7 linked regions of the Nothobranchius furzeri genome follow. The protein of the gene in region 4 purifies or fractionates together with the protein of the main gene of each other region. This does not show direct contact. Links are inferred from orthologs where the notes say so. Each region holds a gene or a part of one and is shown on either strand. Other genes may lie near its edges.

The links.
Region 1: the proteins of chd3 (region 4) and kpna1 purify together in Homo sapiens (affinity purification with mass spectrometry; 3 studies listed by BioGRID and IntAct, with this or other methods). This does not show direct contact. The link is inferred for Nothobranchius furzeri from reciprocal best matches to the Homo sapiens genes CHD3 and KPNA1.
Region 2: the proteins of chd3 (region 4) and B-cell lymphoma/leukemia 11A purify together in Homo sapiens (affinity purification with mass spectrometry; 3 studies listed by BioGRID). This does not show direct contact. The link is inferred for Nothobranchius furzeri from reciprocal best matches to the Homo sapiens genes CHD3 and BCL11A.
Region 3: the proteins of chd3 (region 4) and mta1 purify together in Homo sapiens (affinity purification with western blotting; 7 studies listed by BioGRID and IntAct, with this or other methods). This does not show direct contact. The link is inferred for Nothobranchius furzeri from reciprocal best matches to the Homo sapiens genes CHD3 and MTA1.
Region 5: the proteins of chd3 (region 4) and cyclin-dependent kinase 2-associated protein 1 purify together in Homo sapiens (affinity purification with mass spectrometry; 6 studies listed by BioGRID and IntAct, with this or other methods). This does not show direct contact. The link is inferred for Nothobranchius furzeri from reciprocal best matches to the Homo sapiens genes CHD3 and CDK2AP1.
Region 6: the proteins of chd3 (region 4) and mta3 purify together in Homo sapiens (affinity purification with mass spectrometry; 4 studies listed by BioGRID and IntAct, with this or other methods). This does not show direct contact. The link is inferred for Nothobranchius furzeri from reciprocal best matches to the Homo sapiens genes CHD3 and MTA3.
Region 7: the proteins of chd3 (region 4) and smarcc2 fractionate together in Homo sapiens (co-fractionation; 3 studies listed by BioGRID, with this or other methods). This does not show direct contact. The link is inferred for Nothobranchius furzeri from reciprocal best matches to the Homo sapiens genes CHD3 and SMARCC2.

Annotation. Positions count from the first base shown.
Region 1 is NC_091747.1:50,442,547-50,446,815, reverse strand, and holds the start of kpna1 (importin subunit alpha-5), read right to left. Parts: upstream 2,801-4,269; 5' UTR 2,700-2,800; intron 2,458-2,699; exon of another isoform or gene 2,317-2,457; intron 2,090-2,316; 5' UTR 2,082-2,089; coding exon 1,956-2,081; intron 1,877-1,955; coding exon 1,763-1,876; intron 1,653-1,762; coding exon 1,553-1,652; intron 1,423-1,552; coding exon 1,328-1,422; intron 1,199-1,327; coding exon 1,067-1,198; intron 904-1,066; coding exon 815-903; intron 722-814; coding exon 622-721; intron 480-621; coding exon 316-479; intron 220-315; coding exon 141-219; intron 63-140; coding exon 1-62. Other genes in the region: nanos homolog 1, read left to right, coding at 3,776-4,246. UniProt on the Homo sapiens protein: Functions in nuclear protein import as an adapter protein for nuclear receptor KPNB1. Binds specifically and directly to substrates containing either a simple or bipartite NLS motif.
Region 2 is NC_091746.1:23,955,025-23,958,925, reverse strand, and holds the end of B-cell lymphoma/leukemia 11A, read right to left. Parts: intron 2,993-3,901; coding exon 1,029-2,992; 3' UTR 501-1,028; downstream 1-500. UniProt on the Homo sapiens protein: Transcription factor. Associated with the BAF SWI/SNF chromatin remodeling complex. Binds to the 5'-TGACCA-3' sequence motif in regulatory regions of target genes, including a distal promoter of the HBG1 hemoglobin subunit gamma-1 gene.
Region 3 is NC_091758.1:21,719,414-21,721,612, forward strand, and holds part of mta1 (metastasis-associated protein MTA1), read right to left. Parts: intron 1,525-2,199; coding exon 1,415-1,524; 3' UTR 1,390-1,414; exon of another isoform or gene 1,386-1,389; intron 1-1,385. UniProt on the Homo sapiens protein: Transcriptional coregulator which can act as both a transcriptional corepressor and coactivator. Acts as a component of the histone deacetylase NuRD complex which participates in the remodeling of chromatin.
Region 4 is NC_091742.1:58,681,412-58,683,592, forward strand, and holds the end of chd3 (chromodomain-helicase-DNA-binding protein 3), read right to left. Parts: intron 920-2,181; coding exon 657-919; 3' UTR 501-656; downstream 1-500.
Region 5 is NC_091746.1:75,840,991-75,843,654, forward strand, and holds the end of cyclin-dependent kinase 2-associated protein 1, read left to right. Parts: intron 1-1,340; coding exon 1,341-1,467; intron 1,468-1,562; coding exon 1,563-1,630; 3' UTR 1,631-2,164; downstream 2,165-2,664. UniProt on the Homo sapiens protein: Inhibitor of cyclin-dependent kinase CDK2. Also acts as a component of the histone deacetylase NuRD complex which participates in the remodeling of chromatin.
Region 6 is NC_091756.1:43,855,651-43,859,150, reverse strand, and holds part of mta3 (metastasis-associated protein MTA3), read right to left. Parts: intron 2,500-3,500; coding exon 2,373-2,499; intron 2,236-2,372; coding exon 2,172-2,235; intron 1,428-2,171; coding exon 1,310-1,427; intron 1,156-1,309; coding exon 1,053-1,155; intron 592-1,052; coding exon 492-591; intron 411-491; coding exon 222-410; intron 1-221. UniProt on the Homo sapiens protein: Acts as a component of the histone deacetylase NuRD complex which participates in the remodeling of chromatin.
Region 7 is NC_091743.1:50,346,100-50,350,251, reverse strand, and holds the start of smarcc2 (SWI/SNF complex subunit SMARCC2), read right to left. Parts: upstream 2,801-4,152; 5' UTR 2,752-2,800; coding exon 2,641-2,751; intron 1,711-2,640; coding exon 1,591-1,710; intron 1,490-1,590; coding exon 1,404-1,489; intron 1,283-1,403; coding exon 1,201-1,282; intron 811-1,200; coding exon 718-810; intron 636-717; coding exon 566-635; intron 472-565; coding exon 402-471; intron 236-401; coding exon 160-235; intron 1-159. UniProt on the Homo sapiens protein: Involved in transcriptional activation and repression of select genes by chromatin remodeling (alteration of DNA-nucleosome topology).

The sequences.
Region 1 (4,269 bases), on a different chromosome or scaffold from region 4:
GACTCCTTTGGGCTGCTCAGGAGGTAAAGTAGGGACTGCAGAGCTGAACAGTTCAGGATCACCTGAAAGGATAAATAAAAATCAGATTCAAATCAGAACATTCATGTTTATTTAACAGTTTGTGTTGATGATGTCATTACTTGTGTCTGCAGATCATCGCCAGTGACGATGTTCCCAACAGCCCGCAGAGCTGGAGACACCACTTTATAATCAGAGTGCCTAAAGGGAAGGAGATGTGTGGATCATATGAAAGAATCTGGGACTGGACACACGCTTCTACAACACGCTGCAGAATAAAAAAGTTTCAATTCTTACATCAACAACTCCACTAGCCTCCGACAGACTCCTGAGTCAATAACAGCCTGGATTTTGTCATTAGGCCCATCAGATAGGTAGGACAGTGCCCAGCATGCATCAGCCAAGATGTCTGTGTCGTTAACAAACAGCAGCCAGGACAGCACACAGAGACATGGGGACACCTGGACGGGGCAAGGAGGAGAACATGAGGAGATTTAAGAGGAAATTTGCTTTTGGATTCAATTAGAAGACCATCCTGCCTGTGACCTTGAAATGTGCTCTGATGTGCAGTTGCCATAGCGATAGTATATCTTGGCAAATTACCTTAGCAAAGTCTGGGGGTGGGTTCTTTCCTCTACACAGGTTTGAGAGCGCCCACACGGCGTTCCTCATCATCGTTAGGCGATTCTGTTTGGCCAATAACCTAAAAGCGGGATTTAACAAAGCAAAAATTCCTAAAGATGCTGTTTTTTCCATTTTTATTTTCTAAAATTATACAAAGAGATCAATGACGTACTGCAGCAGGGAAGGCAGGATGTTGCAGTTGATGACAAAGTTTCTGCATTCTGTGCTGTCACCTGCTATGTTACCCAATGCCCACACTGCCTGAGGAGTGAAACAACTATTCATTTTAGACAACAAGCACTACATGAATGTATGATTTTGTATAACAAGAACATCACAGGCCAGTTCTTGCATGTTTTTGTTAAAAAAAAGTTAACAGATATAAGGTTGTTGATGCAGAAATAAGCCTGAAAACTCGACCAACCTGTTCCTGAACGTCTTCAAAATCTGAGCTCAGCATCTCTATGAAGATGGGCACAGCTCCAGCCTGGATCACAACCCGCGTCTGGTGGGATGTCCCTGAAGCAATGTTGGTCAGCACCCAAGCTGCCTCAAACTACAAAGATAATTACAAAAAAGGCTTAAATGTATTAAACCATGAGCAGAATTAGAGACACCATACAAGGCAGAGAGAGGATGCGGTCCAACACGAGGAGGAAATTTTATTTAACTTTGGGAAATAAACCTGCAATGTGCAATTTTCTCTCCTCTTCAGAAACTCAACAAAACACTCGACCACCCCCGGAGTGGCAATAACTTCGTCGATGGGTGGGTTGGGTTCTGCGCAAGAAAAACATTTGTAGGAATGTAACCACTAAATGTTTCAACTCAGGTAGTAAATCATGATGTTTTGAAACAGGGTGCATGGTTTAAAATGCACACATTTAAAAAAAGGAAAAAAAAAGCCAACCTTTTGAAAGAAGCTTCCTAAAGCGCTGAGTGCCTATCAACTGCTGCTCCGGAGAGCTGGAGAAGATCATCTGAATCATGTCATCAGAGATCACCCCACCCTGTGAGGTGACAAAATAAGAATTTATTTGACATGTGATTTTAAACGGTAGTAAAATAAATATATAAATAAAAAGAGTTGATTGCAGAAAAAGAAGGAATATTTTCCCACCATTAGTGGGTCCAGGTTGTTAGCCTGAGATTCCAGATAGCCACTATCAGCCATTCCATCATCCTCAAGGGTGCCCTCATCCTCCACAGTGGCAACATTCCTCCTTTTAAAAAGCTATAAAAGAACAAGATGCTTATTTGGTTGCAAATTCTGACATTTTATTCATTTACGGTCACATTAACCATTGACTTACTTGTTCATCCTTCTTCTGTTTCCTAAGTTGCAGGCCTTCCTCTTCCCTCCTCCTCCTCATCTCATCTGTGTTAAGAGACTTGTTTTTGTAGCTCTTGAGTCGTGCATTGTCCTTACTTTGACTCATAGTGATGCCTGAGAGCACAGAAATACCTATGATCGACACAGACTTGACTAGGATTAGGAGCCATTGTTTTAGCATAGCTGGATCAGAGCAGATCCTAATCTTGGTTTTAGCCTCCTTCATGAATTAAACGTCGCCCAGTATCCTCTGACAGTCATAGCAAAAGGTTGGGTGGATCACACTGCTACTTCAGCAGTCTCTTTCACAGTCAATGAGTAGATCATTCCTCTAAACAAACATTGCTTCAGCTAAAGTATTAAGAGACCTTGCTAGCAGGTTAGCATTCTCTGAATTTACTGCGTGGGCTGCAGGAAACCAAACATGTCAATTTTGGTGAAGAAAACCTGTCGAAGTCAACTGACACTACTAAAAACACAAGGTAGTACTACAGCAACGTACAGACAGGGTCAGGCTGCTTATATCACAGCGGGTATTAGCCTCCTACTCAACTCCGTAAGCTAGTGGCTAGCTGGATGTTAGCTTAGGTCGAGACCAAGCTTAGCACTGCGGACAGTCTGGCGTTTCCCAGATGTCTCTGGCAAAAATGGTAAAACATCTTGTCAATGTAAAGGCTTTCTAAACATAATAAATAAAAAAGTGTAAATGTTTTACTTATTTTACCTATCGGGTTGTGCTCGTAATCCCCTTGTTCGTTAGGCCACCGTTTGTACAGCCGTCACCGGTAAATAACTACGCATGCGCCTCGAGGCACGTACGAGGAGTCCTCGTACGCTTCTGTGGCCACGCCCACACGAGGCTTTTGTTTTGTAAATATGACGCTTCCATTGATTAAAAGGGTGAAAACGTCTTCAAAAGTGAAAGTGTAGGTCAAAAGTTGAACGTGTTAAGGTTCAGAAGCCAAAAGAGTCATCCCACTCACAATTAGGGGTTGACAGATTTGTTTTAACTTCAAAGAGCGATGCGTTCTGTCAGTTTTACTGAACATTTTTCAAACGGTGCAGGTGTTTATTTTGAAGTGTTTTAGATGAGACACTGAGGCGCCAAGGATCATTAAGGGGTTAACGGTGGGTCGGCAAGGTAGCCACACATGCACATAAACACACAGGAACACACACATGCACACACACTGATCACAGTGTATGCAAGACATTTTCACCATCACTTATTATTGTTGTTTTCATGTTTTGCTTTTGTGATTTGTCCTTAAACTACATTTACAAACTTAGGCAACACATGCAATTACAAAATCTAAATATTAACATCTAAATGTGTCACAGGCGCAAATATCGAAAAGCGTGCACCAGAGCAAAACAGGTGCACCTTTTTAAAGTTTGGAAAAAGATAAAATATGCGTTCATTTATAATTTTTAATAATCAAATTTTTGCACAAGTATTCAAAAATAAAGATCATAAACATCTTAATCCACGGACTACTCTGTAGTAAAGTCATTGTTTATATTTTGTTGATTGGGGCTTCAGGAAATAACAATAACAACATTCCACAGATTGTAGTAGGCCTACATTGTGAAAAATATTTACCTTTGCACGTGTTTTAACATTTTTTTTACCTAAATAAATGCAACTGCCCTTAAGTGTTCAAACAAAGCCATTACCCTGCACAACCCAAACACCTGCAAGACATCAACATTGTTGCAATTTAAAACGACTTACTGGCGCCTATAAATATGCAACGATGCTCTCTAACGCAAACCATTGCACATTTTTGTTCCATAAAGATGCAAGGTGGGGTGGACGTCCAGAGCTCGTTCCTGCACGGTGGCGACTGCTTCGACATGTGGCATGATTACATGAACCTGAGCAGCCTTCTGGAGAAGCGCGACCAGAGGGAGGTGGCTCCAGAGGAGCCCGAGAAGGACCCCCATTGGCGACACCTCCAGACCCCATCCAGGCGCAGGACTTCCAGCATCTCCGCAGAGACTAGTTCCAGCAGCAGCAGCAACAGCAGCAGCAACAACGGGGCTTCTGCAAGCAGCTGCAGTTTCTGCAAGCAGAACGGAGAGTCTCCTAAGGTGTACCGGTCCCACAAGCTCAAATCTGACGACGGGAAGGTGCTCTGCCCCGTCCTCCGGAAGTACACCTGTCCCAACTGTAAGGCCACCGGGGACAGAGCGCACACACGCAAGTACTGTCCTGGAGACAAGCGGCAGGAGGCTGCGAGGGTGCTGTCCGGATTAAAGTTCTGGTAGCATGATGCTGTCAGCTGGAACAA
Region 2 (3,901 bases), on a different chromosome or scaffold from region 4:
ACAATGTCCTGTAACCCTTTAGAGCTGAAACTCCAAGCTTATAGCAAAAAGGAGGATTAACTAATGCAAGTAAAGTATCCAAGGCACTCTTTGTTGTCATTTCAAACCACATTATTAATTTCATTGATGTTCGTAAAAGAAACACGTAATGGCGCCAGTACCTAAAATTCAATAGGCAGCCGATTTTCTATGTACATTTAGATAGATAAATCTCTTCTCCGTGTTGCATTGTAATTCTTTCACAAAGATCGCAGGGTTCCCCCCAGCACTTTATAAGCCTGGCGGCCCGCCAGGCTTTGCTTGGCCACCCGCCAGGCTAAGCCTCATGCCCCACCCCACCCCTCCCCCGACCCTACTGTGTCCGCTGACACGAACGGCGCAACGAAACTAGAGCCCTCCATCAGCTGATACTGGTGAGAAACAGCAGCGGAACGTGTGCACCCACCCCCACCCTCACGGAGGAGCGCTGCGGGACAGAGCGCGCGACCCCCCACCCCCTCCGCCAGGCTTAACTCATTTTCTGGGGGAAAACCCCGGATCGGATTTATGTTTAACCCTGCTTGTCTTGATGTTTTGAAAATATGACACCGTCTGCTATGTTTGAACACAAAACTGCACATGATATGTAAAACTGTGTGTACCGTACGCAGCTTGGGTTAGACTAATCTTTTTTTTTGTTTATGTCAAAAAAACCTAAAGTATCAACAGCAACACATGTACAACCAAACCCACACCAGCCACGGACAAGCTGCTCTCTCTAAGTAGCCAAAACACACCAAGCATGCTGTCCAGTTACAAAAAATACAAAAATGTGTAAATTATTGCACAATAGAAAGGCTCAAAAAGTTGTGATGCATCAGTATTGCCCCGATCGTGGATCATGCATCTAGCTTTCTCCAGAAGAGGATGAAAGCAGGGCTGCACTGTGTTCTGGTGTCTGACCCTGTGGTCTCTCCCCCACATGCTTGTTGGCTAGTTAGGCAGGGTTGCTTTCTAGCCGGGGGAGCTGAAGGAGAACTGCTCTTTGTCTATTCAGTTTTAATGTCATTAGCCAGAGGGCGGTCACTGTGCCATTTCTTCATGTGTTTCTCAAGAGTGCTGTACACACTGAAAGGCATGTGGCAAATTTCACATTTATACACGTCCTTGCCCATCTGTCCGTGGGTCTTCATGTGGCGGGTGAGTTTTGAGCTCTGGGCGCACGCGTAGCTGCACAGCTCGCATTTGTACGGCCGCTCTCCAGTGTGGCTGCGGCGGTGCACTGTCAAGTTGCTGCAGTTTTTAAACACCTTGCCACAAAATTCACAGGTGTCGCTGCGGCGACCGTCCTTGGAGCTCGGCCTGCCATTCCCACTGCCGCCGTGGGGAGTGCTGGCCCCGCTGCCGGTGCCGCTGCGTCCTGAGGCGGCTCGCTCACCGTCCAGCTCACCAGGCGGAGTGGAGAAGCGCAAGCTGCCGTTTTCTGAGTGCTCGGATGAGGATGTAAAGGGTGATTGTCTAGAGTCCCCACCTGTGAAGCTGATGAAGGGATCCTTGAGTTGCCGAGAAGCCGCGTAGCCAGCTAGCCACTGAGAATAGACGTTCTCTGTGTTTGGGATGGTGGGCGTTGGGGGGTCAAGGTCCTTTTCCACCTTGATGCGCTTTGACAGTGAGCTGATGGAGTCAGGACTCATCCCACCACCCAAAAGCTTCCTGGAGAGCTTGTCATTATTTAACGGTCCCAGGCCGTTGAGGGTGGTGGTGGAGCCATCGTCTCCACGATCCAACTCCACGGCTGAGTCGTCATCAACGGGCTCCCGGGACGAGCTTCGGCGATGTGGGTGTAGAGCTTCAGTGTTCTGGTGGTGACGGGCCCCCTCTAACCGCAGGCTGAAACGGTAGTCATTCCTCCCATCTTCTTCTACATCAGGCTTTCTATCCATTTCCTCTTCCTCTTCTTCTTCCTCCTCATCTTCATCTTCTTCCTCCTCTTCTTCTTCCTCATTCTCATCTTCCTCCTCTTCATTTCCAGTCATGAGACCATTGTTCTCGCTCTTGAACTTGGCCACCACTGACTTGAGGGCATCCGCGGCACTGCCCACCACCTCACTGGTGCCAGGTTCAGGAGAACTGGCGGTGGAGAGGCCGTCGTCTGACTTGGCATTTAGCGCCGAAGACTTGTTTTGATAGTGCGTCTTCATGTGGCGCTTTAGTTTGCTGGCCTGTGTGCAGGCATGATTACAGAGGTGACACTTGAAAGGCTTTTCCCCTGTGTGGCTTCGCCGGTGCACGATAAGGTTGCTCTGGAACTTGAAGGTCTTCCCGCAGAACTCGCAAGACTTTGACTTGACGGGGGTGCCTGGTTGGACTGCATTGGATACAGGATTAGGGGTAGAGCGGGATCCAGAAGGGGACTGGGAGGTGGACATGGGAGGCGTGGCTGTAAATGGAGGTTTGGAACCTGGCTGAAATGGCTGCAGCAGCCGTTGCATAGGGTTGGGTCTGTTAGGGGACAGAGGCGGAGAACCTCCAGTGGCATTGCCGGCTAGCTCCCGTAGGCGTCTAGAGAAGTCCATGCTCTGAGGGGATTCTAATGGCACCGAGTTCAGCCTCATCACCCTGTCAAAGGCGCTAGGATGGTGGGTTGCCAAGGCAAGGTCATCGGGGCTAAGGTGGTGACGTGGTGGTGGGCTGAACAGCGGGGGTGTCCTGGGATATCGACCCTCGCGAGGTGTAGACGCCGAATCCCGGACAGACCCAGAACCCGGCATCTTCAGAAGGCTGTAAGGGCTGCCGTCGGCCAAGTGCACAGCGTGGAGGGGAGGCTGGGAGGAGGCGCAATCGCCCCCCATCCCAGGAGCCGCAGCCACACGAGGGGTGAGGGGGCTGCCAGGTTCACTCTCCAGATAGATGCGGAAACCGTGGGTGTTCTGGGCGTGCTGAAGCAGGAACCAGGCACTGGTGAAGGGCTGTTTGCACGTTGTGCAGGTGTAGCTGCTGGGCTCATCTTTATCTGTCACAAAAGGAGACACACAGAGAAAACCTAAATTTAAACCAATGCAAGACAAAGCAGGTGTGTCACATTCCAACATGGTTGCAGATTTGTTCATGAAAAGATTTGAAAAATCACACAACAGCATCAAAATCATTCATTTCCACCTTTTTTTCTAAATTCATCATATTTGATTTCCATAACGAATGACTAAAGTGGAATTCGGTGTAAACGCACATTTTCAGTGGTGTTGTCACACAAACCAATATTTACAACGAACAAGTGTGATTTTGTTGTTAAACTCTGGATTAAACAGACAACAGCAACAACGTGGAAATCACTCAGACAGTAATTGACTTTCAATTGCACTTGTGGGCTGACCTGAGATTTGCCTGACAATGCACGCCTAATCTGGTTAAACACACTCATCTCCCCTCCAATACCTTGTTTGCAGAATTAGCCAAGCTAAAGTAGGACATGTATGGGACGCTGCTTATTAGCACAGAACGCCAACAAGAGGTCGCACGCTAATAAACTGTAGCGGTTTTTATCAGAAAAAGCACCCGTCCACGGGAAAACGAAACACGTGGAGGAACTGTCTACGCCTGTTTGTGTGTGGGAGGGGAGACTCTTTTGAAAATGCATTTCATGCATTACTTTTCTATTTCTGATATTTCACGCTTCATGGATTTATTTAAATCCGCTCAGGTGAATAGAAAAAGAGAAGAAGAAAGCAGAAGCGAGAGCTATGCAAAATAAGACACATCCGCCACTTGCAAATGTGCTCCCTCTTTCATCTTTGGCGTTTCTTTTCCTTTCTTCTTTCCAGTGAAGGACATTCTTCTAAAGTCATTTGCAGACACCGAACCCAAAAGCCATGGCCATACTGTGCTGGGGAAGAACAAGGGACCGGCAGAAGGGGAAGAGGGG
Region 3 (2,199 bases), on a different chromosome or scaffold from region 4:
ACCAGCACATGTAGCTATGAGCTAGCTGAGCTAACCGAAGCTAATGGAGGTTGGCCAGAAAACTGCGGTTGAGTGTCTCCGCTACCCTTTGTCTTCAGCATGTGCAGCACATGCAGAATTAAACATGTATGTTGGTGACATAAAGAGAGACAGCAATAGGGATGGGCCAACTTCCTGCACCAGTCATCGCTAATCTCTGCTTCACCTCTGATGTCTGCTATGTAATTGAACAGGAAATGTGTAAATGTGTCCATTTCCACCATAAACATGTTGAAATCCACAGAAAATGATGTTTAGATCTGTTGAGAAGACACATTGATCTACTAGCGTTATGATTGCAGTGGATAAACAGAATGGCACTGCCTCCTGTGAACACACATTACTATCTGACTCTCCAAAGCTAAGCTGAGAAGTGCTCACGCCTGCTTCCAGATGCCAGTGAGGATTCTGTTAGCCTTGCAAGGTTTCATACGATTTGGTGAAAACAGTTTTACACTCAAGTGTTTCTAGTATCAATTTTCCAGTTTTCTTTCTGTATTTGACTCAGTTTATATGTCTTGTCAGCTCCACGAGAGAGAAACGCACACAAACTGGCGGAAACGTTTTGCTCTCGGACTTCTCCGTCTCCTGGAGAGTGCTGCGAAGCAATTCCCCGCCAGAACAACGGAGGGCGTAGCGCTGTTCTGTGGTATCCGGTCCACGATAGTACATTTACTATTGTGTTTATTGTGTTTTTGCATTTCAGAGACTTTTTAACAGACTAATGTGTCCCTCATTCTCCTCCACCTCTTCATGTGCTCGCCCCCTCTAAACCCACGTTCCCCTTCAGTCCCATCCACGAATAAAACGTTTGCTGCGTATTTCTTTACTCCTACAGTCACGGGTGAATAAAATGTTCATATTTTTAGTTTTTCCGTGAGGTTTTCTTCAAGCTGCTCCGTATCTGTTGCTAGATATCTTCGGCTCTCTCTATGTTTTTGAGGGTGCATGGGCGGCGCTGTTGACAAAAGCGGTGTCCAGACCAATCACAAGCTTGCATTCTTTGTCTCATTTGACGGATGTTTATAAGTGGGCTTGACTTCATCCGTCCTTGCGAGCCTGCTGGAGAGGCCTTGTGAGGATGGATAATGACGTTGTGTGTCTCCGTACCGACTCATATGCATAAACTAGGCATTAGTCTGGTTTATGTTTTATGTCCATTAAACTGGAACAAACTCCCCTTTTTCTGGCAGAGCACATCTTTATATGTTCCTTTAAACCACCTCTTAGAAGGTAATAAACCTTCTGCTTTCATAAACTTTAATTCCTACTTATTATGTTATCATACTGGATGAGTATTTATAAAGGAAAATGGACCACACAGAAACCAGTCAGACCCACCAGTCTCACCTCAGTGGCGCTGGCTCCTACAGACTCAGTCCAGCTCATGAACTTCATCCTGCAGTGAGGCTGAGGGCCGTCCTGCATCTCCAACGCGTTTGGCCATGATGTCCCACTGTGGAGTCAATGCTTTGGATTTGGTACCTAAAAACAAAACGGAGCAGGAGACTTGATGCAGCTGAACACCCAAACAATAACTCACAAGCCCCCTGGTGGTTCCAAGTGAGAACAACTCTTTTGTTATCAGAAACAAAAAATAACAGGAATAAATAAAAGTTTGGAGTGTCCCTAAAGACAGACGCAGAACTTTTCAGCATCTTTAGACATGTCCTCCTATCTGTCTGTGATCTAGGCGTTGGTTTAAGGAGAAGATGTTGATCTCTAAAAGGCATCAGGAGGCGCAGAGAGAAATCTCTCTTCAGAGCTGGAACTGTAGACATGCACATGGATCCTTGTGATTAATAATAATAATAATAATACATCAGACTTATATAGAGCTTTTAAGGACACTTAAAGACGCTTACATGCACTCTCACATTCACACACTGCCGGTGATGGTAATCTGCTACGTAGCCACAGCCCTGGGGAGGTCTGACAGAGACGAGGCTGCCTTTTGGCGCCGTCGGCTCCTCTGACCACCACCAACACAGGCAAGTTGAGTGAAGTGCCTTGCCCAAGGACACAACAGCAGAATACCCCTGGTGGGCGCTGGAATGGAACCCATGACCCTCCGATCATGAGGAAACCTGCTCTACCTCCTGAGCTACTGCTGCCCCTTTAGACATGTAAATAAACATAGTTCTATGAATAATAACAATG
Region 4 (2,181 bases):
TTCTAACATCTTGCATCTACGCTTGGTTGAGCTTAGGAATGCTACAGCGAGAGTCCACGGGGAGAAGTGCTTTAAATTTGGAAGACTTTTCTTTTTTTTCTTTCTGATGATCTCGATCCGGCTTTGTTCTTTCCGGGTTTCGTCTCCCTGCTCTCGGCACATTGACGACGTTTGTTGCAGGGCTTTATTTTGTGTGTGAGATCCAAAAGCGTGTGCGTGTGTGGAGATGGAGGAGTGTGGAGGAATGAGGGAGTACGGGGTCAGGGCGAGGGGACAGGCTTGTTCAGTCAGCCTCAGGATGAAGAATTGATCCGGGGGGGGGGGGGGGGGGGGGGGGGGGGTCTTTTGGCTCAGACGGAGAAACAGAAAAAAAACAAAAGAAGTCTTAGAAATCTGTGGAGAGAAAAGTGCTCCTTTGCTGCATTTGTTATAAAAACCCGTGAATGCATTAACGTATCGTTTTCTTTCTCAGAGCCTCTTTTCGGCAGCACCTTTTCCAGTTTTTTTCTTTGGATCTTTTAACTGATTGGCATTTCATGCCCTCTCACATCAAGCTGTCCTCCTTTTATGCTCTTCTCATTCCAGGAGTGTCTAAGTGCCTCGTTTGTCGATCCAATTCCTTCTTTTTTACAGTTTTGCTACATTCCCGATTTCTTTCAGGGTTTCTTTGGTCTCCCATTGCGCGGCAGATTCTCCACCGTGTTGCTGAGCCGGTACTTTACAATGATGCTGTGCACCGTGGACTTGGGCATTCTCAGCTCCAGCCCAATGGCCCCCTCTGACTTGCCGTCTTTCCAGAGGTCCACCACCCGCTGCCGCTGCACCACATCATGCTCCTTGGTCTTCTGGAAAACCCCAGCGGTGAACTGGCCCCCGGCGGCTCCACCTGCAGCTCCCCCGGTGGCCCCAGCAGCGGCTTCTGTGGGGGCAGACAAGCGGCAGACTGTAGTGGAGGCTGGGAGAGTGGAGGCAGCAGGATAATGAGACACTTTACAGGCTCCTGTAGAGATTTAGTCCCTCTGCAGGGAGGTCAGAGATAGAGCTACCGGAGCTGGTGGGGGCAGGTGCTTGCAGACCCATGCGCTTCACTCCATCACTTTAATTTAAGCACCTCTAAAAGACGAAGCTTTGTCTAAAAAAAGTGTGGGACTCCTTCAAGGCAGATACATTACTTCCTGATGGCAGAAATGGGGTTTCCAAAACTTGTCTGCAGATTTTGTGATACCCAACACAAGACAGTGTTTCTGCGGAGCGTTCAGTGCATTGTTGCACTTCACTGAAAATGCTACATCAGAAGATGATGTGATACCTTCACGGAGAGGCTAATTTCGGCCAACAAAAACAACCAAACAGCCACAAACTGACCTGTAAAACGTTGGAAGACACTTTCGTCATTTTTCAGCAATAAGAAGTGTGAAGCACAGTTAGCCATAATTGATCAAAGCCTGGGAGCAATGAACCTAGTGATTCTCTTGTGACTAGGATGCATTTTCATTACGAGGTACATTTTTCAGAGCAACACCAACAAACCCAAAGAAAGTTGACCCGGACATTACACTGAAGCCAGTTTCTCACTGGTCTGAGACATTTCAGCTGGAATCAGATTTAATAACAATGCGTCGTTATAAGTTTGGGTCATGTAAGAAAACTTGGTCACTAGCTCTTTCTCACAGGAACTGGACTGAGAACACCTGTGAGGAAAATTGTTGGGCTAAATATTTTAGATTTTTTTTAAGTGACAAATGCAAGGCCCTGCCTCTCGCTCGAGAACATTTGGAGACATTTTGGAAACTCCTTGGAGAACTCCTTTAACAATATGTGGTACAAAAGCCAAAACCTAGTTTATTTAGTTCATTTTTAGAGGATATTTAACTACAGAACATCTTACTTTTACGGAAAACAACACGGATGCCTGTACACTTAAATCTAAAGACTAATTCAGTTTGTTTTGTCTTTCTCTAAGCTAACATGGATACATTTTAATGTTCTCATTCACTGGGAAACCTTGTAAAACTTGTTCTTTATGGAATGCCACCAGTCACTTTGGGTTTCGCATGAATGCAGAATGTGAAAATAGTCCTACCTCTATTTCCTGCATTGGCTGTCTAAAGAAGATAGACGGAAAAGCGATAGGGTCAGAGAAAACCTTGCCCACCTTGGATTGCAACCGCAGAAGGTTTA
Region 5 (2,664 bases), on a different chromosome or scaffold from region 4:
CAACGTTCTCGTCACAGGAAATACAGAACAAATCTGATAAACCTAAATTAACCCAATGGTGACAAGCACTTACCGTTCATCCACGCACACACTTAACATCCCGGTGCTGCTCCTCGGGCAGCAACATACTGCAGAGAGGAACCCAGAACATAAACCTGAAGCTACATGAACCTAAAGAGATGCACGTATAAAGGCTTATATATCTAAGCATGCGTCCGGTCACTTCAAAATAAAGTAACAAGGGAAGATTGGTCGCAAAACTCAAGACTTTGAGGGCTTTGCTACAGTTAGAGATGGTAGAAAAGAGATTGCTAACATTTTGAGTGGGTGAGGTTAACCAGTCTTTCCATTGTAGGGCTTTGTGCTATTAATCAGTAGCCTAGTGAACTAGACCAAATTCTTGCTTTGCAAAGTTTGGTCTAGGCACGCTCCACTGGAACCTCAGCAGCTCCTACCAGGACTCTGGCTAGCCAATCACAGCTCTCTAGAGGGGTTTCAAACACATAAAGAGCTGTGATTGGTCCATAATGGTGGGCCAGTCATAGTGCTCTATCTGCTTAGTGAATAAATCACAGAGCTTTATCCGCTTTGTGGGCCAATCAGGGCACTCTATATGCCTGGTGGGTGGGATGATGCAACAGAGTGAAACAAGAGTATGTCACATTCATTGCAGTGGAATGCGGAGATCATTTAAAAGACAACGGTAGAACCCGCCCCACAACCGAGAGCCGTCAATGGAGCATGGCCAGACTAAATAATACATTTATTTAGTCTGGCTTGCCAGGCTAATTAATCAGGGCTCTTGGGCCATTGTGAGCCCCAACAAAGTTTCATATGTAGAGGCTCAGAGAACAGTTTATTATTGTTAAAGTTGTTCTAGAACCCATTTAAGACCAAATTCAACATAGACATTTAATGTTTAGAGCTAAGGTTGGCAACTACCTACCCAGAGGGTCGATATCCAGCATGTTTTAGTTCTTTCCTTGCTCCTAAATACTTGATTTGATGGTTGAATCACCTGTTAAGCAGCTCATCAGGCTCTGTAGAAGCCTGTTAATCATTTTCTGACTCAAACCAGGTGTGTTGAAGCAAAGGAAACACTAAAAGACCCTTGTATTTAAATTTGCTTTTACTTAAATCTGTATAATGACTTTTGTGATTTTAATGATCTTTCATCTGTTTTCTGTTTTTGTGTGTGATTTTTTTATGGCCTTGTCCTTTCATTTAAATCTAATGTTTTAATATTGTGCAGCCTTAGTTGTTTCCATAAAATATTGCTCTAATTTGCAGAACTAGCAATGTAAAGCAGTTTAAAATTACTTATTTTGCTCCAACTTCAGGGCTCTACTGGCAGTCAAGTACCTCAGAACAAATACGCAGAGCTGCTGGCCATCATCGAAGAGCTTGGAAAAGAAATCAGACCCACATATGCTGGAAGCAAGAGTGCAATGGAGAGACTGAAAAGAGGTGAATCAGAAAAACCTGAGAGGAAACGGGTGAATTAAAGCGCTGCAAGTGCCAAAATGTATGAATGAATCTAAATGCGTTTGTTTGTTTCTTAGGCATAATTCACGCCAGAGGGCTGGTGCGTGAATGCTTGGCTGAAACGGAGAGAAATGCAAGATCCTAGCTGCAAAGGCACATTCCTCCCTGCAAGAAGAACTACATTTCATAAAAAAATTCAAAACAAAACTTGCATGGCATCGACTTTGCAAGGAGGATATAAATGAACCAGGATGGAAAAGCAAGTTTTTAGAGGAGAAACAAAATGATGCCTAAGGAGGATCATTCCAACCATGTGAATGGGTTAATGGGAATCCGCTGAGAAGGCACGTTGTGTTTTATGCCCCACTTTGGGATATTGGTTTGACTTAATATCTAAATCATTGGTTTTTGCATGCGAGCGGACCTGTGGGTTAATTGTAGACACTGCATGGCTTGTACAGAAGTAGATGGAAAAGACTTCTTTTGTTCTTTTGTTGCTGGTATTCGGTCTGATTTTCAGATCCTCTGACACACGATTGAGTTGAGTGATGTGCCAAATGCATCAGCTCATCTGTGATGAAGTTGGTTTTGGTATTAACAAAGAAAAGGAACATGCTGTAACTTGCATCTTTGTATGTATTTATTACTCAGTGTAATAAATTGTATTTTCAGTACAGTGGACATTGTCATTCACTGTGTTTTCGTTTTAAATGAATTGGGTTCTTGGCACACGGGCGGGTCAGAACCTTTGTGAAACTAGAACTCACTTTGCTATAACTCAATGATTTCAGTGGCTTCAGCTTCATTTGTACCAACCATGTTTAGACATAATGGAGTTTTTACCACAGTTTAGGATCAACTTGACCTAAATAGTAAAGTTATTACTATTTATAACGGATTTTACTCAAATTTGACTTTAGATTTAAAAATCTATGGTCGTTTGAATTATTTTTTTAAAGAACAAGTCACCCCCAACCAGATTCTTATTCAACTCCCACTTCCTGTTTGAAAAATGCAACAAATGCTGTTGCCTAGCAGACCAAGAGGATGGAGCCGCTAACAAATACACACACTCATGACATTGTGACATCATAATGTACCATCTAACATCATAGTGGACCTCTTAGCCAATAGCAATGGCAGATTTAAATTCAAATGCAGTGCTAAGGTTTTACCAGA
Region 6 (3,500 bases), on a different chromosome or scaffold from region 4:
ATATCCCAGCTTTGTACAGTACCGGGTAAAAAAAAAAGAGCTCAAAAGAATCGGTCATCCCCTAAATGTTGGAAAGGTGAGATTTAAAATGGCCAAACGTGTCCTTTCACAGAACAACAGCTTCAATTGACACAATTACAATGAAATATTCCTGCAACATAATACGTCAAATGCTGTTTATGAGCATGTCAATCATCATGAGTTCACTAAAAAATACTTACAAAGTCTTGTCGTATGTCATTGAAGTCTTTTCCATATTTCTCTAAAGCCTCCTCAAACATGGCAGCTTCCGAGGCGCTCCACTCCTCCATCTCGTCCCTGCAGAGCACTGGACCCCCCGCTGGGACCAACACACTCAGAGCGCTGGACAGATCGTAATTGTGACGATGCAGCGTATCCATGGCGTGGAACTGAAACCGTGGAAAGCGGGTTAACATCCATGAATCAAACTCTGATCAAGTGGGTGCAGAGTGAAAGCGGCTCCAACTCACCAGTGTGATATCTCGTGAGGCTGCAGCTGCACTCATGTGTAGGCTGGGCTGTCTGACTGAACTGCTGCAGTCCAACGCTCTGGCAAAGGTCCCAACCGCCCTGAAAGCAGCAACCACCAACACACAGGAAACGCAGAACATGTATCAGTAGTTCTTCTACAATCCCATCACCTTTTTCATAAACACAACCTTAGAGGTGTAAAAATATGTTTTATGCAGCATGAAGCCTAACCTGATACTGCTTATGGACCCAAGGCTGAAAATAATATCAAACCCCCCTTTTAACTTTTTCTGGAAGTAAAATGCACGTGTAGTTATCTCAAACACGTGCATTTTTACTGTTAGTCAGAAGTTCAAAGGATTTGCTGCCTCTTAGCCAGGACTTTCCTTGCAAATGAGGTTTTTAATCTCAATGGGACCTTCCTGGTTAAATAAAGAATAAATAAATACATTTTATTCAAACAGAGATTGATGAGGTCACAATGGGCTAAACATCCTCTGTTTTTAGTTTGGTGAGAATTCTCTCAGGAAGCGGTCTGCAGCAGGGTAAAGGAGACCTACCGTGCCACCACTAGGAATTGATCTATCTGTTTGTCGGTGAGAGGACACTCAGGGTCCCAGAGTTTCTCTTCTAGTTTGGACTGGTCCCTGTCATCTGCCTCACCTGCAAAAACACAGGAAGTACCTCAGAGAATGCACAGAAACATATTTGCATATTAAAGAGGAAGAGAAGGATATATAATATGATCATATCTGCTTTTTGTGTGACTCATTTCTATCAGATTATTGTTGGATTGGCAGAAAACTGTACATCGTACCCTCCTGTAGCATTTCAGGCACGTCTGCCTGAAAGCGTGGTCCCACTCTGATCTCTCCTTTGTCAGCTAGCAGAGTCTTTTGTGTCGGGTCGTACACCAGTGAGTAGAAGAAAGTATCCTGACAAACAAAAATAAATAAATAAAATTTATTATTTATGAAGTCAAGAAATCACCATTTGACAAGCTTGGTTACAATGTAAGAAAATGTTGATATGCTGAAATGCCACAATTATGCATTTTATCAAACAGAACCGATATTTAAAAGCTGTGAATCCATACTTTGAGAAATAATATGCAAAAGCTTACCGCATTTCATTTGTGAGGTGCAATTCACACTCCGACTGCTAGGTGGCAGCATCTTTTACCGCCATCATTCTAACTAACAAGATCTCACGATAATACCAGAAGCATCTTAGATGTAGGTAGTAAAATTTTCATTTATCAGCTTTTAGTATCGTAATATATGGTATTGTCCCTGTATTGTGATAACTATTGTATCACCACATTCCTGCCAATATACACCCCAAATCCTTAGTATTGATGCTCATTTCAATAAATATGTGTGACTTTTAATCTGAATGTATTAAACTACATAATTACCAGTATATTAATTGGTTGTTTAATTGGTTTCATCTGGCACTTAATCACCTCAGAAAATAAACGAACCCTTTGGATTTCTGCAAACTTCAAAGAGGTTTATATTCAGTGATCACTGGGTGTAGTGCAATGCGTGCAGTGACTGTAAACTCCGTTCACTTATTCAACTGAACCCAGAAGAGTTTTCTGTGTAGTTTAGAGCAAACCTGCTACATATGATGTGCTCCAAAGTAAACAAACATCCTTTTTCACCCTTCAGGCTCACCTCTTTGTCAAGGTATGAAAGAACGGCTTCAGTCTCGTTCAACAATGCCACACTGCACTTCCCCCTGATGGAGAAGAGAGAAAAGGAGGCCCGTAGCATGTAAAACACGGACAAAAGAAAGTGGGCAATGATGCGTTTGTGGCAAAATGACCACCCGTGGGTTCTGCCTGCAGACGACATGCTGCCCTTTAAGTTTAATACCTAATATGCGTCGCAGGTAGGCTCTCATACTGTCGGGAGAGGAAGAGCTCTCTGTGGCGAAGCTGGTGTTTCTGTTTTTCTGTTAGTTCTGTCTCTGTGGGGTTCTCCTTCTCCTCTTCCAATTCCTCTGCAAAAGTACAGAGAAACAAATTACACCAGAAAACATGCTGAGAAATTCTCCCATTTTGTTTTAAAATAAATAAAAAATAACTACAAAGCACACAGATAAATCTAAAAACTGATTAAACTCAAACATTTATCCCTTTGGTGCGGTGTGACATTAGATAATTAAAGGTTAAGACTAAGAATAAACATTTACCTCATGGATAAGGAACATTTGTCCACAACCATAATGCTGGTTTTCTATATTAGTAGAGTACCATCAATCATATTTTGATTTAAATATTACAAACTCACTAATCCTCTTAAACAGCCATACTTCCTGTTTTCAGACACAAATATTACAAACCTTTTCTTCTTTTTAAAATTGGGACAGATTTTCCTGAATAGATCAAAAAACTAAACCTCAAATCTGTCACATTTCAACATTTTGAGAAAAAGGAAAAGTAGCTGAAGAGTTTGATGTATAACGTGTGTATGGTATGTAAAAGTTTTAATTGTAAAAACCGAAAGATAATTTCTGATATTACATTTTAATACCAATATTGATCTAATATTACTTCTTTTCTTTTAGTAAGAAACGTTGTGGCTAGTAGTTCATTTCTTACACAGTTTAGTAAAAAGTATTTGTTTACCTTTCATGTTGAATCCCTAGTAATTTCTTAGTTTAAAGTTATGGTTGTATCCTTGACTGGTAGGCCTGGGAACCTCTGGGTACCTCACGATACAATACGATTGGCGGTACAGGTCTCACGATACGAAAATATCACGATGCAACGATATTGCACAAGTTAGCCTACAATAATCTAAGGCATTCGATCAGGTCAACCACTCTTAAGTTCTTTTGTTAATTGAGTGAAATAGGTGTCCCTGGTATCATTGTGAGGATTTTGGCATATTGGCAATTCTAATCAGACAATGCAAGTGAAATGGGGCAATCCCACATCAGCCTCCTTAGTTGTTAGTAACGGTGCACCAGGGGGGATACTGTCACCTGCTCTATTCAAC
Region 7 (4,152 bases), on a different chromosome or scaffold from region 4:
TATGTATATACATATATATATATATATGTATATACATATATATATATATATATATATATATGTATATAGATACATACATATATATATATATATATATATATATATATATATATATATATATACGAGTAACTAATGATTAGAAATAAAACTAATAAAGACCTTCCTGGGCTTTTCTGGGCTCGGAGGATCCTCCACTGCAGCTTCAATCTCACTTGCAGGAATCCACGTGTCATAACTAAAAACAACAGAAGGGAACAAAATACACATCAAGGCTTGTGAGAATACCACACAAGGAGCAATGTGTAGGTTCAGTGAGCTCACAAAGAAGACCGTTTAGGACTCATTCAATGGTAAAAACGCGTGTGCCGCTGCTGTGTTTGAAGCGCCAAGTCAGAACCAACCTGTCTGGAAAATATCCCCAGTGGAGGAGGACCTGCTTGTCTCTCTTCATCACAGGACGCACCCACTCTTCTGGACCAACAAATATCATGTTGTATTAGAACTAAAGTGGAAAAGCAGCAGAATTCATAAGAAACCCGAGCTGAGCAACATAACAAGGCTTCACCTTCCTCCAGACTGGTGGGGATGGGAACCACAACGTGGGAGCTGGAAGCCTTGTCTTCAGTCACGGAGCCCTGCAGCACAAAAAGGCTGTGTGGATTATACATGCACAGCAGAATAACACTTTTGTTTAAAAAAAACTATGCAAAAACCAACCTGATGTCTTTTAATGATGTCTTTCAGTTTTCCAAGCAGCTTCGGTTCAATGTCAGAACTCAGGTAGATGATGGGTCGGCTCAGGCAGTTGTTCTACAAGAATCAAGGAGAACCAGCTCAAGTTGTAACTCTAGTTTTATGGTTCAAATCCTATAAATGAGCATTTAAGTGTGTCTGATTCAGAGAAAAGGCTGTCTTTTGTTATTTCTATCTTTAAATCTCACCACTCTGATTCTAAAGACACTTCCTAAACGTGATGTAAAAACAGGAGACAAGCAGCGTTCCCAGCACAGATAACCTATTTAGATCGGCTACTCGCAGAAACACAAAAGAAACAAAAACCTCAATGTTTAAATGTTTAGAATAAATCAGAAAAACCCCACAATTATCTGACAAAGATGAAAAACAATTATTACAGCATAACTGTCCAAGGAATGAGTTTTAAAAGCTTAACGGTGAATAAAATCAGTGAGAAAAACTCACCTGTACTAAAGATTTCTCAATTGTCATGAACATTTCCACATTTCGGTCCATCCTCGATGGATTCTGGAAGTCAAACCTGCGCCTACCAGGAAATTAAACTGGAGTTACACACAAAACAGCAGGACAGCCTAAATGCAGCAGAGCACTGCCACTTTTATTTCACTCAAGATGCATGATGAGACCAGTCAGAAAGAAGCTCTTACCATCCTTGGTCACTCTTGAACTTGTAGGCAGCAGCCAGAATGTGGCAGAGAGCCCCCCCTGATTTAAAGTCTAGAAAACACTTCATCTGCAGAAAGAAAATAAAACAGCTTCATATTACATCGCCTGAGGGCAAAGGGGTGAGTAATCTGTTAGAGAGAGGGGTGGGGGTAAATAAGTGTGACATACCGGCAGCTTAGTGAGGGGAGGGTTGCTGACATGTCTGCCAAACACCTCCTCCTGGAACTGGAGCAGCTGGACCACCAGGCTGGACAGGGATTTGTTGGTGGGGGGCTCGGCCTGGATGTACTGGGGAGATGGGAAAAACTTATGGGAACTCTGGAAGTTTCACTTTTATCACTATTCCTGTGTATGCATCTTTTATTTATGGGTGTAAATAATGTAGATGGATCTGTATGTTTATCAGTTTATATAGTATTATTGCTGGGTAAACTCAGTATATTTCTCATTCCTCGCTTCATATGGGTGTTTTATACATTAGCAACACTATATAAATAAAGCATTTATTCCATCGTCCTTTTGTGAATCCTATCTCATTAACTGTCTATTGCCTAAATCTCTGCATTCTTTTATACACATGAGCAGTGTTCACATATGTGTATTTGTTTGTTTCTTATTCTAGTCATTATTAAAGTGTGTTATTGTAACTGGATAATGGAGACTTCGGTGGACAAGGAAAACTAGATTTCTTTCGTAAAAAGCTTTAGATCTTTTTAAATAAAATGTGATTAATTCCACAATTATCCATCATTAATGAATGGATACTTGTGACTTTTTTGATCATTAACACCATGTTTTGTTAAATCTACGTGATAAAGCGCTGGTCAGTGTTATTTAACACCGCTCATGACTCCAGAGCCAGAGGCGCGCCACACAGCCAACATCTGGATGTGAGCCGCGTTACCGTTAGCCGATTAGCTTAGCTAGCCTGCTTTGCCAAAAATATCTCTTTTTCTAAACTCCGCTCCCTCCGGCGGGACTGTGTGGTGTCTTTGGATCCTTTTGGCTACAGCAAGACCTACAGACACCGACTTTTGCGGCCGCGTCTGATGTTGCGGTTGGCTCAGCATCCTTTTTTAGTGAATCAAACAGCTGGACGCTCAGCAGCACCCTCCCTCCTCTCTTTGTCACTGCCTCTGCCTCCATAGGTAAGCGCGTACGTTTCTGGGCAAAATAAGAAAGCTCCGTGAGCACGCTTATAAAACATGCGCTCAGTACCTTTTTGTAATTCTTGCCCAGCCAGACGCGGACATTATCAAACTGCGAAACGGTGTCAGATGCTTCGAAATATTTTACATTGGGGCCGCCGTCTTTCTTCCGCACCGCCATCTTTGCCTGCAGACTACCAGTCGGTGTTGGCTGCCTCCTGGCGGACAGAGGGCGTCTCTCCAATAGCTTGATAGCACAAAGCGCTGTGTCGACGGCAGACGAGCAGCAGGGGGCAGAGTTGTGCAGATAATAATTTATCCTGCAACATAGTTTAAAACCTGCTTTCAGCTTGTAAGAAAGTAGTTGCACAATTTACACTTTTTATAATCGTGATTTTATTAATAGGTGGAGCTGCGTTGATTTATTGCTGATAAAATACATTTGCACATACAGACTTGATCTGGAAGGGCATAAAACTGTGCATTTCATGTATGTTCCCATTTGTGCTTTTTTTATAGCCCATTTTATCCAGAAACCCAATAATAAAACAAATATAATTACTATATTCACACATACACAAACAATCCACTTACTTTTAGTCATTTTGAAATTTGTAGTAGCCATTTTTTCTATTATTTGTTGATAATTATAATTTTTTTCTCTTTGTTTCATTCAAAGTGTCAAAATATATATATATATACAAAAAACATACAAAAACATGCATAAACATGAACACCAAACAATTTGAATGAAAAGGGGCAGAAGGAAGAAATATCTTACATTATCTACCCCTATTGACAAACCAAACTTTTTAATAATGCTTCCATACAATTCTCAATAAACAACAAAACAAAACACAGATTCATTATATATTCTTGTAACTTACAGACCTAATCAGACACCAACTTAATTTAGGTTATTGTAGTTCTGTAATACACTTGATTTGATACATTTTTTTAATATATTTAGTGACTTTGATTCTTTTATGTCTTTGCTAAGGTTGTTCCATATTCTCAATTGCTTATTCTTGCTCACTTTAAATATATTTTTAAACATTTTCTAAGTGATTTTTTATATTTTTACAATTTTTTATAGTTTTTGTTTTTGTGAAGCGCCTCATGATTTTTATCTTGAGAGGCGCTATAGAAATGATATTTTCTTCTTCTTCTTCACGCCATTTACAGAGATAGTCATTTCTTTCATTCTGGTTCTAAATTTCGTTTTTTTAAATACTTCAGTTCCTTTAAGAAATAATTACTGACTCTTTTTTCAAACATTTTCTGAATGTTGGTGGGTAACGTATTGGTTTTAGCTTTATACATTGTTTGCAATATTTTCATTTTCACTAGATCATAAAATTTCATTAGTTTATATTTGATGAATAACGGATTGGATGGATCTCCATAGTGATTGTTATTAATGATTCTCAATGCTCTTTTCTGTAGAATAAAGAGTGGTTGTGTATGAGTTTTACATGTGGATCCCCATATTTCTACACAGTAATTCAAATATGGAACAATTAGTGAGTTATACTAAGTCAGCAATCAGAACTATTCAGTAAAAACTTAACTTTATGTAGTA